Tamandua tetradactyla: one gene and its partner. The protein of the gene in region 1 interacts with the protein of each later gene in a pairwise test. Links are inferred from orthologs where the notes say so. Each region holds a gene or a part of one and is shown on either strand. Other genes may lie near its edges.

Region 1 (7,816 bases):
GCTTTTTAGACATTTCAGCTCAAGTGAGAGTTGGATTGGAAAATATTAATGCATATCCTTGATATGTCACATGTCCCAGAATCTGCACATGGCCAGCATAATGAAAGAGAAAATGAAAGAGGATTGAGTTTAACCATAGACTGAGAAAGAATTAAGAATTGATATTGAAACTCACTTTCCTTGCCGTCCTGTTACACCTGGAGAGGAACAGGAAGGCCTGACTCCACAGGGAAAGGGACATAATCAGATGCTTCTTTCTCTAAGCCCAATTCATACCTGTGAGCTCAAGATATACAAATTCACTTCAGGTACTCTCCTCTTATTTTTTGCCAGCTCCTTTAAAATTAACTGCATTTCCTGTGTCCTGAAGGGTAAAACTGAGAAACACAGCTGACTGAGGTGGTAGCAAATTACCAATGGCTAGTCTCAACAGACCTATACATAACTGAATTTATGTTGGATTCCTGGAAACACTGGGCCGTAATTGGTATGGAGCAAGGGAGAAACCCTAATTTGTAGTTTGGAAAATAACTCCTAATGTAGTCAACTAAATAATTTATGGTAAGTTTTGCTTATCTACCTATGGACCCAACATCAGTAAGGAAACTGATAATTAAAGTTGTCACTGCAGGTTAAAGCGTTCCAGCAAAGAGTTATAACAAAAAGATGACTTAATGGCAAAATCATTTCTATTCCAAGCAAGCAGTTCAAACTGATATTTTCCTTCCTGAGCTCAGTATATTGGAATCTCTCAAAATTTTTCCAGCGTTGTTATAAACTCACTTACTGTGTGACCTTGGACAAATTCCATATCTCTGTTCCTCATTTTTGTCATTTTCACAATGGGGAATAATAGTATCTATTTCTTTGTGTTGACATAAGAATGAATCAAGGTAATATTTGTAAAGTTTTTATTGAAGTGCCTGGAATATTCTAAGTATTACAAAAGTGTTGGATAAATAAATAAAATAGCCTTTGGCTACCTTAAGTCATTCAATATAATAATAAATTTCTTGATGATATATGGGCAAAAACACAAAAAAAGAATATTTAGGGGCTAGTTAGGAGGGAAGGAACTTCAGGCACAACAGAATTTTGAAGGAACGAAACAAATTAGACACTTTTTCATAAATAAGAAAGGATGTGATGGAAAATTCATACAGTACTTGTGCATGTAAATTATAAAATGTAGTGTAAAATGGTTCAGCCACTATGGAAAACAGTTTGGCAGTTCCTTAGAAAGTTAAACACAGAATTTACCATATGATTTGGCAATTCCACTCCTAGGTACATACCCTAAAAAACTGAGAACAGGGACTTAACAAAGTGTTGTTTGCAAATTCATAGCAGCACTGTTCACAACAGTCAAAAGGTGGAAACAGCCCCAGAGTCCATCTGTCAGAAGGGGTAAACAAATTGTTGCATATGCATACAATGGAATGTTATTCAGCCGTAAGAAAGGAATGAAGAACTGATACATGGTACAAGGTGGCTTACCCTCCAAGTGAAAGAAGCCAGATGCAAAAGCTCATTCATTGTATGATTCCATATATATGACATATCTAGCATAGGTCAATCCATAGAGACAGAAAACACATCGGTGGTTGTCAGGGGCTGGTAGGAGGGGGCAATTGGGATTAACTGCTTGATGGTACAGAGTTTCTTTTGGGGTGATGAAGATGTTTTGGAACTAGATAGAGGTGGTGGTTGCACAATGGTGTGAATGCAATAAATGCCACCAAATTAGTCATGTTAGAAATGTGAGTTTTACCTCATTAACAAATAAATAACATTAAAAAAAATTAAAAAGAGGTGAGTTGGATCGCTTTGTTAACTGCAAAGACAGAAGCATCCCAAGCTTCCTCTTCCATTCACAAGAAACATCTTACTTAGAAAAGTAGCTTAATGTCCAGCCCCTCTGGGCCATGGCTTTCTATATGAAAGTGAAGCTGGACTGGGTGACCCCTAAGATCTCTTCAAGTTTGAATTCCAAGGTAAAGAAATTCAACAACCCTCCTCACCCACATGCTTGAAAATTCTTGCATCTGTATGGCAGATGCTCACTGGAAGACAACGTTGTTGTAATTAAATTACAGGGAAATGAATTTGTTTTAGTTATCAATATGAAAAAGTATTTTAATATTCATTACTATAATGACTCAAATTAATGAGCAAAGTCACAAAAACAAATGCACTTCAAAAATTAGCTTGAGATTTGTCACTCTGATGCTCAGTTACAGAGCCTGTGTGTGGCTCCAGCCTGTCTGCTCCCCTCTGTGTAATCACACACTGTGATTTCTGCCAGTCTCTGTATCTCTGTCTTCTCTGCCAAATGCAGTATGGGCAGCCCCAAGCTGAAGGAGATTCTTGATTAATAGGTGCCCTTGCCAAGCAGGAGTGGTGCCAACAGAAATGAATTCTTCTATAAACTGCTCACACTTTGCAATCAGAGTACTCTAGAGCAGTTTTAAGGCCACCAAACAGTCACTACAACTTGCTTAGAATTATTGTTACAATGTGGATGAACTATATAGCAAAGGGCTAGTTAAAGATTTTCTCCCCTTCCTCTTGTGACAACTTTACTCTGAAATTATTCAAATATTATTTGAATAGTAAGCCAAATTTACCTAATCTTGGGATTTTAGAGTGGGGTCAACATGTTCATTCTAGGTGGCAGGTTTATAATTTTCTGTATTTTACTTTTTTCTGGTGTTCTATAAATTCCCTCCTAATTATTCCTAGTACCATCAGGTATATTTATAAAGGACCTTCAGCTAGAAAAAATTCAACCAGCTATCAAAGGTATCTGCCATTTTCCCCACTTTTAATTCTGGCCCTCTTCAGGAATAGCTACTTCTGAGGTACACACAGTCTCCCAAACTGCCAGATCCACAAGCCTCTGCCTACCAGGACCTACAATCAGGCTGCCTCCCAACTAGGTGTCCCCTGGTCATCCCATTATCTATAATGCCCCAGATTACTGGGATTCCTGGCTATGTGAGGTTCAGGCAGAAGGACCTTCCTTCCTTTTGGTATTGCATATCCATTTCACTCCTTGCTGCACATGGGCTGTTCCTCCAGCTTTCACTTTAGGTTTCTGGCTTCCAGCATGGGCATCCACCACGGTTGGCTGGGGAGACAAATCTAAGAGACAAAAATCCTGTATAACACCTAACTGACCCTCTCCACAGGCCTCTGAGGTTTGGTTTGGGACCTGGCTGATCGGCCTGCCACTTCCGTCCAGTCAATACTCTGGAAGGCTCTTCAGTTCCGCATGCAAGCAGCTTCCTTCAGCAGGCTCCCACACAGGCCCAGACACGTCTGAACCACACATGGCAGTGGCCATAGCTCAGGGTCAGCCCCCAGTTTCCCAGTAATTATTTTTTTAGGCACCTACTATGTGCCCGGATTTGGGGATCCAAGGATGATGATTTCTGGCCATCACAGACCTGCTATGGGAATCTGGAGGACAAGTCCTTGAGTGCTGGCCGGTTCAGGCCTTTACCCCAGGGGAAAGGTGCCAACTAATTACCAAAGGTAGGGAACCTCCTCTCAGTATAACTAGAAATTTTACCAAAGTTTCTTAAACGCTCCAACATTGACGTCTCCCAGCACCCATGTGCCTCTGTCAGCTTTTTTCCCCATCATATAGTAACAATGTCCCTTTCTTATTCTACTTCTTGTTCTGGGTCTAGACTTCACTTAGTTTGTATCTCTACATTTCTCTCTTCAGACATAGAAAGGGAAGGGCTGTTAAAGGAGAAGAGAAGTGAAAAAGCTGTAGTAGATTGTGTATGAAATAAATGTACTTGTAAGACCTGTATATTCTTTTGTGCAACTTAAATGAAGAATTAGAGTGCAAACAAATGGGAAAATTATAAAATAGGCAACAGATATGCATGCAATTTATGAAACTTCCTTTCTTGATTCTGATCTCTGCTGTTTGATTTGGTAGGAAAGACCAGTAATTCATAAAGCAATCAGCTGACCTTTGAATACTTAAAAGTTTCACCCCTTCTGGGTGATGCGGTCACTTGCTGGGAAAAGTGAGAGGATGGATCCAGAATAGTTTTATCTTTTTGAGGGCATACCTATACTGAGCATCTGATTAATTTGGAAGGTAAAATTTCAGAACATCATCTTTTCGTTGGAAGTTTGAAAGGTAAATGTCTGAGAACATCCAGAAAAACAGAACATTTGCAGGGTTCGATCAGATATGGCCCAGAAAGTATTTCTTCACTGTGCACATTCCCGCTCTTTGAGAACATAGGGACTTGCACGTAGTAGGAGTTAGGAAAATGTTTGCTAAGGTGCTAATTTTAGTTAGCACTGTTTTGCTTCCAATCCTCTCAGGGGTTTGAAGCCCCTGACCAGGGTCACACCGCAGGGGAAAGGGGAAAGGGGAATAATAAAAGCACGAGGTAAAGCTAGAATGAGACGACGGCTTGACATATCTAATTTGTTGCTGGGTTTAATATTTTTGTTCAAAAGCCTGTGAGGTGAGCAGCCCAGATTGTGGCAACATTAATTGTCTATGCCGTTAATTTCATCGACACTTTCAGATTTTCGACACTTCAGATTTTCGAGTTTGTCATGGGGGTTTATGCAAAAGCACATGCAAATCGATAGCGTTTGGAAACTTCCCTCTGTGCTCCAGCCCCCCTCGGTGTGACAAACAACCCAGGCTGGCGCCGAGCTCGCGGAGAGCCTCCGCGGAGGGGGCAGGGCAGGGAGGGAAGGGGCGGGGACGACGGGCGGGAGTAGGGGTTGTCCCGGAGGCGGGACAGCTCAGGAGTAGGACCTCAGCCTCTAGCTGCCTCTCGCCGCCGCCGCCGCGTCCGCGGTGGCCTCGCATCTCTGCTAAAAGGGGCTCTCCGACTTCTCTCCAGGCCAGTCCAGGGCTGAGTCCTGCAGGTCGGCGCTGCGCCGTGGAGCCCTGCACTGCTCCCGCTGGGCCTTGGACCGGATCCCTTCGCCCCAGAGTTGCGCACAACTTTCCTTCTCTCCGGGCTGCGGTGGCTCGGGGACCGTGGCCGCCGCAGGTAGTTGAACCCCTAGTCAACGCACCCCGCGCCTCTTCTCCGCGCACGCTTAGCTCGTTCGCTGCCGGAGTGCACAGTGGGGGCCCCCGACCTCGGTTCTGCGGACGAGATGCCCTTGGGACACATCATGAGGCTGGATCTGGAAAAAATCGCCCTGGAGTACATCGTGCCCTACTTGCACGAGGTCGGCTTCTGCTACCTGGACAACTTCCTGGGCGAAGTGGTGGGCGACTGCGTCCTGGAGCGCGTCAAGCAGCTGCACTGCAACGGGGTCCTCCGGGACGGCCAGCTGGCGGGACCGCGCGCTGGAGTCTCCAAGCGGCACCTGCGGGGCGACCAGATCACGTGGATCGGGGGCAACGAGGAGGGGTGCGAGGCCATCAGCTTTCTCCTGTCCCTCATTGACAGGCTGGTCCTGTACTGCGGGCGCCGGCTGGGCAAATACTACGTCAAGGAGAGGTCTAAGGTAGGACGCACGCGGGCACCGGCGCCCCGCTGCTGCTGCCACCCGCAGGGATTGGGAGCGTTCGGGAGGCAGTTGTCTGCCGCCTTCGCAGGGTTGCAAGTTTTTAATCAAGAAGTCAGTTTTGTCTCCTGGCACCTCTGAGCCAGAGTCGCTGGTAAGGGGCTCAGGTGTTTAATTTTAATGGTCTTCTGTTGACTTTGAAATAATGGCTCCAGTGAGTGCTAAAAGCTAAACAAGCCGTGGCTTTTGGTCTGATTTTAAGAGACTTCCGTTCTCCGAGATCCAAACGAAGGAAAGGATATTAGAAACACTGTGTGTGATCTGAGGCACACGTGTACTCATTAGCTTAAATGCCTGCTTTAAACTCATCCAGGATGCCCCTTCATTGTGTTCAGAAGGGGTTCCTACAAAAGCACTCAAAGAGTTCTGGAGAGAGCTGTGATTTTGCAACGTGGCAATTGGTTTGTGGAGTGTGTGGCAGGTGTGGAAAGAGTTTGGCTTGTGAAAGGGTAAAACACCTCCATTATAAAGTGAAAGGTCCCTTCTTCATTCTGAGGGCTGCTACCCTTGACTGGTTGGACCCAGCACATTATTAAACCATCCACTTGGTTGTGAACATGTGTCCAACATTCGCCACTGTCAACTGATGGCAAAATCCACTCAAAACAACCGGTTACGTGATCAGGAGAGAGTAATCAAGAAATGATGGAAAGAAATGATTTCTTTGCTCACATAGCCAGAAGTGGCTCCCTGAGTGGTAATTTTATCTTGTTGACGTTTACTGGGAGATTGGCAGAAGTAAGGGAACATGTAGGTACCATGATGTTGTTGCACTTAGATTACTTTGGGATGGTCAAGACAGGCTGCCTTTCTTCAAATGATAGACCAGCCATTTTTCCAGTGACAGTGCTGTGATTTGCACTTCTTTTATGGCGGACTCTGAAGTATAGGAAAGTTTTATTCAAACAGTCAAATAAAGCATACCAGCAGTGACCCATTCCTTAAAAACATCTGCATTTCTCGATTCAAGATTGATCCTGTGATAAAACCAACCATTGTAATCTCATTTTCCCATAAGGTGAAAGATTGGGGTGGGTGAATGGAGCAGGGGACAAGTAGGTTGTTATATTCCTTTCAAGCCTGGAGGGCAGGAACAGGGTTTCTGAAAAGCATCATAAATAATCAAATCAAGTAAATATTAGAAGAAAATTCTGCTTTCTAGATTTTACTTTGATTTGAGGGAAATTCAGTTAGCTGAATTCTGTAGAAGATTGCTATTACAGTGTTTCTTTGCTCTTCCATCTTTCTTGTGGTGGATTAGAAAGTCGTTTGTCTTGATTAGCTTTGATTTTGTACTGTGACCTTGCCTGTCTCCTGGGATGGGAGAACTGGGTGGGGCGGGGTGGTGGGGAGGGTTACTCAGCAATGCAAAGTTGCATGGAACTTCAACCTGGAATAACAAATGGCTTATCTGTTTTTTGTGTTTTTTTTTAAGGTTCTTTGCAATTTAGAGTTAGGAAATTTCCCCCCAGGATACTAGGAACAGAATCTGCTCCAAGGGAAGTCAGAATTAATTGCTAGAAAGAGGTCACAAACATTTGAAAGTTAAATTTTATTCTTTTGCTTTGACTTAATGGATGAGGGTGGGGTTTCAGGCTACACTTTAACTTGACGAATTGAATGACAAGTATTGTGTACCTCAAAGTGAGGGGGAAAAAAAATCTCTAGATATGATTCTTCAGGAGTGGTTTATCTTCTGGGTGGAACAAGTAACTTTGCAGATAACTTTCAGAAGGAGATTGTAAATTAAAATGAGAAGGTTCATTTTGTTCACTGAAGAGTTGGGTTTAAGCACCATCTGTCCAGACCCAGATGTCCCGCTTTCCTTTGGCTGTTTAAAAATCTTCATTCCTGTCCTTCAGAAAATTCACCTCTACATTGGTATATTCATTTCCTGGCCCCTTAGAACCAAACGCAAATCAGGCTTGAGCTAAAAATGATAGTCAACATTTTTAAAAGCCTGATATGCTTATATACAGAAGTCTCCTAAGCAAGGTCTAGCACTTGGGTCTCTTGTTTGAAACTCATTTTTAAAGCATTGTAGAAATGCACACATTCCATTTCCATTTGATTTATATTAGTTTCACCTTCATTTCATCTTTGTTCACTTCTCTTCCCTCAGTGGTATCCATTATTCTGAGCTACTTCCTAAAGTAATGATACGAACTTAGTTTCCTGCTCTCTCTTCAATCAGGTTTTCAGTAAAAAGTAAAATTTTAAAAGGCAGAATTTGCACATTTATTTTAAA
Region 2 (6,890 bases), on another chromosome or scaffold:
TGAGGGGGGAGGTCTTCCCCTCTCCTGAGTTCCTGAAAGCAAATTTCTCTTCTTTCCTTGGAGTGCCCTCTGCTTCTGAATATAAAGACTCGACCCCGTGAGTACCGGGTAGGATGGAGGGTGCTTACTCCATAAGCATGGCCCCTCTCTCTCTTTGCCTCAAAAGTTCTGAACTGATGAGAGTGTGTGTTCGGAGGGATGTCACGCTGAGGTGGCCTCACTCTGCTTCCTTTAGGAAAGATCGCCCTTTTCTACTTCTGGGGGTCTCCTCCCGGGGTGGTAAGGGGTTTTCCTAGCCTTTAGGAAGGAGAGACGCGTCCTCTATAGGGGTCTCTTCTTTTCCTCGCCCGAGTGCTAAGGGTCTGTTCTCCCTGTTCCGACACCCACTCCCGCCTTCACTCCTGGGGTGCCCCGGAAGGTGGGGCTTTCCTACTCCCCTCTCCCTGAGCTGGCCTGGGCAGTAGGGTGCGGGAGGCCGCGGCTCCCGACTCCCGGCACCGGCTACAGTGGCGGCAGCGCCTCCTCTAGTCCCGTCCGGGCCTGACCGCTCCCTTCGGCGCGTGGGGCTCCCGGCGCTGCCACCTCTCCGACTCCGGCCAGTCCCGGCTCCCGGGGAGCCAGAAGGCGTACGGACCGTGTCAGGGCTCGGCTCGGGCTCGGGCTCGGCTCGGCTCCGCTGCAGGCCCCGGCTCCTCCCCGGCCTCCGCGCCGCACTCCGCGCCCCTCCTTCCCCCCCGCCCGCCCGGCCGCCGCCACCGCCTCCCGGCGCGGGTTAAGGAGGAGCGGGGCGGCCAAAGCGCGGGCAGCGCCGCCGGGGTGCGCGCGCGCCGCCAAATTGCTGCGCGCCACCCGCCAGCTCCCGGGAGGACCAGCCTTCGCGCAGCCCGCAATCCTGGGGCCGCGCACCGCCGCCAGCGAGCCTCCTGCCACCGCCCGGCCGCTCTGCTCCGCGCAGGTCGCCCAGACAACCCCACCGCTCTCCATCGACGGACAACTGTCACTCTGACCTTTTTTTCTTTCTGTATACAGTTGAACATCCCCAGAAGTTTTCTCAGGAATGTCTTTGATGAATTTCTTCCTCCCATCCCGTCACCCCCGCCCCCAATCCGCCTCACAGACTGTTGGTACAGGGTTATCGGGGCTGGGGCGAAGTTAATGTTAACCCTGAAATCATCCTGGAGTTCATTCAAGTGCTTATTGGACGAGTGAATGCATAAAGGGATAAATGACTGTATAACAGAGAAAACTTTTGCAGGTCTCTTGTTCTCTGGAATCTTGGTCAGCAAAGAGGAGACCTTGAGTTCTGCCTACTCACTAAGGCCGTTTCAAGAACCAAATGAGATGATTTATGTGAAAATACTTTTAAAACCGTACAATATACAAAACGCTTTTAAAACTGTACAATGTACTATATATTGTTCAGTTCTCTTTATCATAGCATATAAAATGTTCTCAACAGCACAACTCTGCTCCAAGTATGCATGCCCTCACAGAATAATCCTCACTCAGAGACAGAAAAGGCCACCTGGAGCACACCTCCACCTTTCTCCTGAGATCATAGTATTTCTCTACAAATGCTCTTATATTCCAACCTCTGGCCTATTAAACTTTCTCCACCCATTCTACTTTGTATCACGTAAATAACATGAGAGCAGAAATGTTGTCCATGAAATATTTGAATTGCTCAAAAAAGACTCCATACTCAAAATTACAGCTTGGTGACATTTAACCTTTGGACAATAAAATATTTTGTCTTCTGACTATATGTAGTACTATATTTTATTTAAATTATACATATACATTATAATTGCATTTTATTTACAGTGTCCCAGGCATTGAGCATGTATTATCACATTTAATTCTTATAGCAATCCCATAAGGGATTATTTTATACCTATTGTACAGATACCGTTGTCTTAACTGTCAGAAACTAAAGTTATCCTTAAAGTGGATCAAGTCCAACTGAGCCTTTACTTCCTGACAATCTTTCCAATATCCAGGTTTAAAGTTGTACTTTTTCCCCTCTTTGAGGCATTAATTCATTTTCCCATGTGCTGCTATAGAAAAATACTTTGGCAGCGAATGTTTCTTGCTATGTTTAGGTTGTTTTGTTTCTTTTTTCAACCCTTTTGGGCATTTTCTATGTATATAGAATTTGGGTAGAGAGATAAAGTACTAAAAATGGGAAAGAAAGCTAGAGAAGGCTTAGAATCTCCTTTCTGGATATTTGGAAAAATAAAAAGCTTAAGAACTTATTTGATATATACACGATACTTACTGCACAATTATTTGTAACGGTAGACAATTAGAAACAACATAAATATCCAAAATAGAGTAACAAATAAATTATGGCATATATATATATATATATATATATATATATATATATATATATATATATATATATATATACACACACACACAATACACTATGATTTCGTTTTTAGAAGAGTAATTGTAATTTACTAGGGAAGGTGAAATTAGTGCAAACTAGCTTTTCTTCTTTACAATTTAGATATTTTGCAGTAGACATGAATTATTTTAGATTCAATTTTTTTCATATATCTGAATATATTCCAGTGGGAAACTCATGTTGAAAAACTGTTTGTATAATATGAGCATATCATTGCTCTTTTTTTTTTCCAACTTTGTACTTTTATTATTATATCATGTTGTCCACAGTTCATTTATTCTCCTTATATTTTTTTACTTTTTTGTGAAGAATAACATATACAAAAAAGCAATAAATTTCAAAGCACGTTGCAACAGTTGTAGAAAAGATTTCAGAATTTGGTATGAGTTACAATTCCACAATTTTAGGGTCCTAGCTGCTCTAAGATACTGGAGCCCAAAAGAAATATCAATATAATGATCCAGCAATCATACACATTTGTTAAACCCTACCTTCTCTGTATAACTCCACCATCACCTTTGATCTTTCTCCTGCTCTTTAGAAGTATTCCGGCTATGGCCATTCTAACCTTTTCATGTTGGAAGAGGCTGTCAATAATATGGGAGAAGGGGATGAAACTAGTTGATGTTCTGGAGAGGCGATGCTTTTAAAAATATCTGTACATACTGTGTAAAAAAGAGGAGTGATTAAGATTTTTTTTACTTCATTTTATACTCTATATATACTTTATATATTTTTATATGGATTTTGTTTATATAATCTTTTAGATAAAAAATTAATGAGGATGATTTGGTTTGGGGGGAAGCACTTGCATGCATTCTCCTCTTACTTTCTTTTAAGGAAAGTGATATGGAGTAGCAAAGAATAAAAAAAATGATCCACCCTTACTAAAATGGAACATATTATTCTTCTTGAGTAAAATCCTTCTTCATAATATTTTATTATGGTGATTGTTATGCTAAAATTCACATTTTTGTAGTATTAATTAAAGACCTATGTATTATTTGAAACATAGTATACTGGATAAGAACACATCCTACACGGATTCAAAAACCAGCTTTGGCATTCAATAACTAAGACCCTGGAAACATCACTAAACTGTTCTATGACATAGCTTCATCATCAGTAAGAGGGGATAATAGTATGATCATAGTATTATGGAGGGGTTGTGTGACTTTGTATCTCTAAAGCAGTTAGGTAAGTGCCTGAGAGAGGGGGAACCTAGTCTTTAAAAGAAGTTTAGAAGACACAGAAACTAAATAAAATTTATATGGGCCAAGAGACATCCATCAAATTCAATATGCAAACGGTTTGGGGGACCCTTTTTTGAACAAAACAACTGAAAAAATATTAAAGGACAATTGGTGAAATGTCAATATTGACTTGGGTAATATTAAGGTATTATTGTTATATTTTAGATGTGTTAATGGTATGGTGTTAATTTTAAGAATCTTTATCTTCTAGGAATGCATACTGAAGAATTTAGGGATAAAATGTCTGAAAATTGCCTCAAAATAAGCAAGGCGGGGGAGTATAGAGATGAAAAAAGATTGCCCAAGTGTTAATTGTAACAAAATGTGTTTTAAACAAATACTATTCGCTATACTTTTTTGCTTGAAATTTTACAAAATAAAGTTTTACAAATACTGTTTTTGAAAAGTACTTGAAACATACATAGTAGACTATGTAAATCTTTACATTATCATATGTTTTGCATGCATATTTCCTTTTGTTTACACTTCTCAGATTATGCCATGTTTGCACTTACACTAGTTATTTTAGTACTCACAGTAAACCTGTGCGGTAGGTATTGTTATTCCCATTTCATAAAAAGGAGAAAACTGAACCAGAGCCAGGATTGCAAGGCCGTACAATGTACCACCTCCACTCTACCAGCTTCCAAGGCACCGGTTGTAAAGAGTAGGAGTAACCCGCAGCACAGGGTCCTGGCTTCCTTCAATAGCTACAGCCATGTCCAGTGGGGGAGAGACAAAATCGATATACAAACTATTCATTTAGGAATTTTATCAAACGAAAACGGAGATATTTGCACATCAGAAAAATTCTAGCAGCTGCATTAAAATGTCATAGAAGACAGCGGAAAAGATTAAATTATAGAGGAAAAGTTCTCGGCATACTTTACTTTTCCTTCACATAATTGTTTAATAATTCGCTTTCTAAACAATTCTTATTTCTGTTTATCCCTCCTAGTAATAAAACTGGAAGAAAAAGTCTGCGGGACTAGATTTGAGAAACTGGGATTCAAGTTTGGGAGCCAGGAAGACGTGATCTACTAGCCCAGGCACCCAATAGCTCATTCAGTTCCACCTTAAGAGGACGGCGCCTCTCCCAAGCAGAGCATCCACTCAGCCCCTCCCACCCCCGTGTCAACTACGACCCGGGAACGTGGGGAAAGGAGGAGAGACGCACAGAATGGAACGACTGGCGCCCGAAGTTCCAGAGTCTTCTTTTCCCCTTACTCTGCCGACACCGGAAGAAGCGCGTGAAACAGGGGCCTTGAGGCTCAGTTCTCCGGAGGACTTCAGGGAGGGGGCTAGGTTTCACTGAAACGCCGGGGTGGGAGGTGAGGAGTGGGGCCCATCAAGGGGTGGGGCCGAAGTGGAACAGAACTGGGGCACACGAGATATACGGTACGCCGAGATCTTGGGTCGAAAATTAAGTTCACTGGTCCCGGACGCACCTCTTCGAATCGTTTGGAAAAGAGAGGCCGACTTTTCCATTCTCCGCCCCCGTTTCCCGTCTTCATTTTAATTGGCTGGGTTTAGGGTAGGCTGGGCTCCAACTTGCGTGTTGATTGGCTGTATAAGTAATCGATCACAAGATGACGCCGGCGAGGGAGCGCTGTTTGGGGAGGAAGTGAAGGATAGTTTGGTACCTCCTACGCCAACTACTGATTGGTTAAAATTAGCGATGATGTAAAGCAACACATAAAAATGCCCTGTAAAGGAAAGAGCCTATTGGCCACTCCCGAGGTCTAGGCTAGGACCGGGAAGAACCTGCCAGACTCTGATATTGTAGGGAAGGACCAAATTAGTTGAAACCCGGAAATGAGTTAAAGGAACTGAAGGAAAAGAGGGATACCCATGGCATTTTCTTTGCCCTCAAACATGTCATTTCCTGCGTGGGATCGATAGTTTCCTGTTTACTTCTCCGAGGTCGGCGTGTACGCTGGCTTTCTGGAGTATAAATGATTAAATTCATTTGGTCCCAGACTTACCATTTACTTACAGTATTAGGAGAATGAATGAAGTGAAGGAAAGAGAAAGCACGGGATTTAACCCTCTCTTTGGGGAAGGCTAGGGAAACAGGCTCAGTAGAGAAAGCTGAAAGTCACGGTATACAAGCAGGTGGGATCCTAAAGAAACTAATTATGCAATAATTGCAGAGTGGTGGTAGAGAAAACAGTAAAGACTTGTCTGCAGAATGGCCAGGAGCTTTCCTGAGCTAGGAGTATATTTTATTCATTTTTGTATCTTCTGTGCATGGCAGTGTCCGATACGTAGTAGATAGTCAATAATTGCAGAACTGAACTAAGCTAGGGTGGAAAGTCCTTATAAAGTATACTGGATGGATTCTACAGATGCCAGACCTTTAGGGCATGTTTTTAAAAGGTATTGCTGCCAATTTTATGACCCAGAAACAATTTTTCACACCGTTAATTGAACAATAAATTTCCCCTCAATTTATCTTTCTAGAAAAATTGAACAGATAAAGGGGATTAGTGGAACGATGTGCTCTAGATTGAATAAATGGAAAATAATTTACAATCTGAGGTTACAGCCTAAGAAGAATTTGAAATTTGAGTGTTTAGGAGATACTTTCTATGCTAGTAAATTATGAAATCACTTGCTTCCTAAAACAAATGTCACTTTTTTCTGGGCCAGACTTTTTCTTATAGCTAGATTTCAGCAATACCTGAACGTTGTCTAAAAACTGTGCTCCGAAATTCAGGGAACAGTGCACGGACTTCCTGTTAGGATTACAGCTAACGCTCCAAGGGCTGTTTGTTGAGTTTCTACCACACATATGTACTGCCTATCCAAAGAGATCTCATCTTTTCATGATATCCTAGGTCTTCTAGGCCAGATTATTTATAGAAAGTATAATCATACTGGCTCTTCAATATCATTACAGTCATAGTTTACAGCCATAGTTTCTAAACAAGAACAGGACTCAGCAGCTATATTTGCAATAAGAGTCCATGGGAAAATTATTACTGCACTATAAACAGTTCTAGCATAGTCAAGGTATGTGTTGCTTAGGCAAAAGGGCATGCGTTAAAAGGGGAAGGAGATTAACAAATATATGAAGAATCCTGTTTATGAGAGAAAACTTTTTTAACATTTTTTATTATGAAACAACATATATATTAAAAAGCAATTAATTTAAAAATATATTGTAACAAGTGGTTATAGAACAGATTTCAGTTTCATATGGGTTACAGTTCCACAATTTC

Evidence for each region.
Region 2: the proteins of EGLN3 (region 1) and FOXJ2 interact in binary tests that used the Homo sapiens proteins (3 or more experiments, as listed by UniProt). The two-hybrid records come from large-scale screens. The link is inferred for Tamandua tetradactyla from reciprocal best matches to the Homo sapiens genes EGLN3 and FOXJ2.

What each region holds. Positions count from the first base shown.
Region 1 is NC_135340.1:20,112,205-20,120,020, forward strand, and holds the start of EGLN3 (prolyl hydroxylase EGLN3), read left to right. Parts: upstream 1-4,802; 5' UTR 4,803-5,151; coding exon 5,152-5,508; intron 5,509-7,816. UniProt on the Homo sapiens protein: Prolyl hydroxylase that mediates hydroxylation of proline residues in target proteins, such as PKM, TELO2, ATF4 and HIF1A. Target proteins are preferentially recognized via a LXXLAP motif.
Region 2 is NC_135333.1:70,436,251-70,443,140, forward strand, and holds the start of FOXJ2 (forkhead box protein J2), read right to left. Parts: upstream 3,004-6,890; 5' UTR 2,927-3,003; coding exon 2,905-2,926; intron 693-2,904; exon of another isoform or gene 1-692.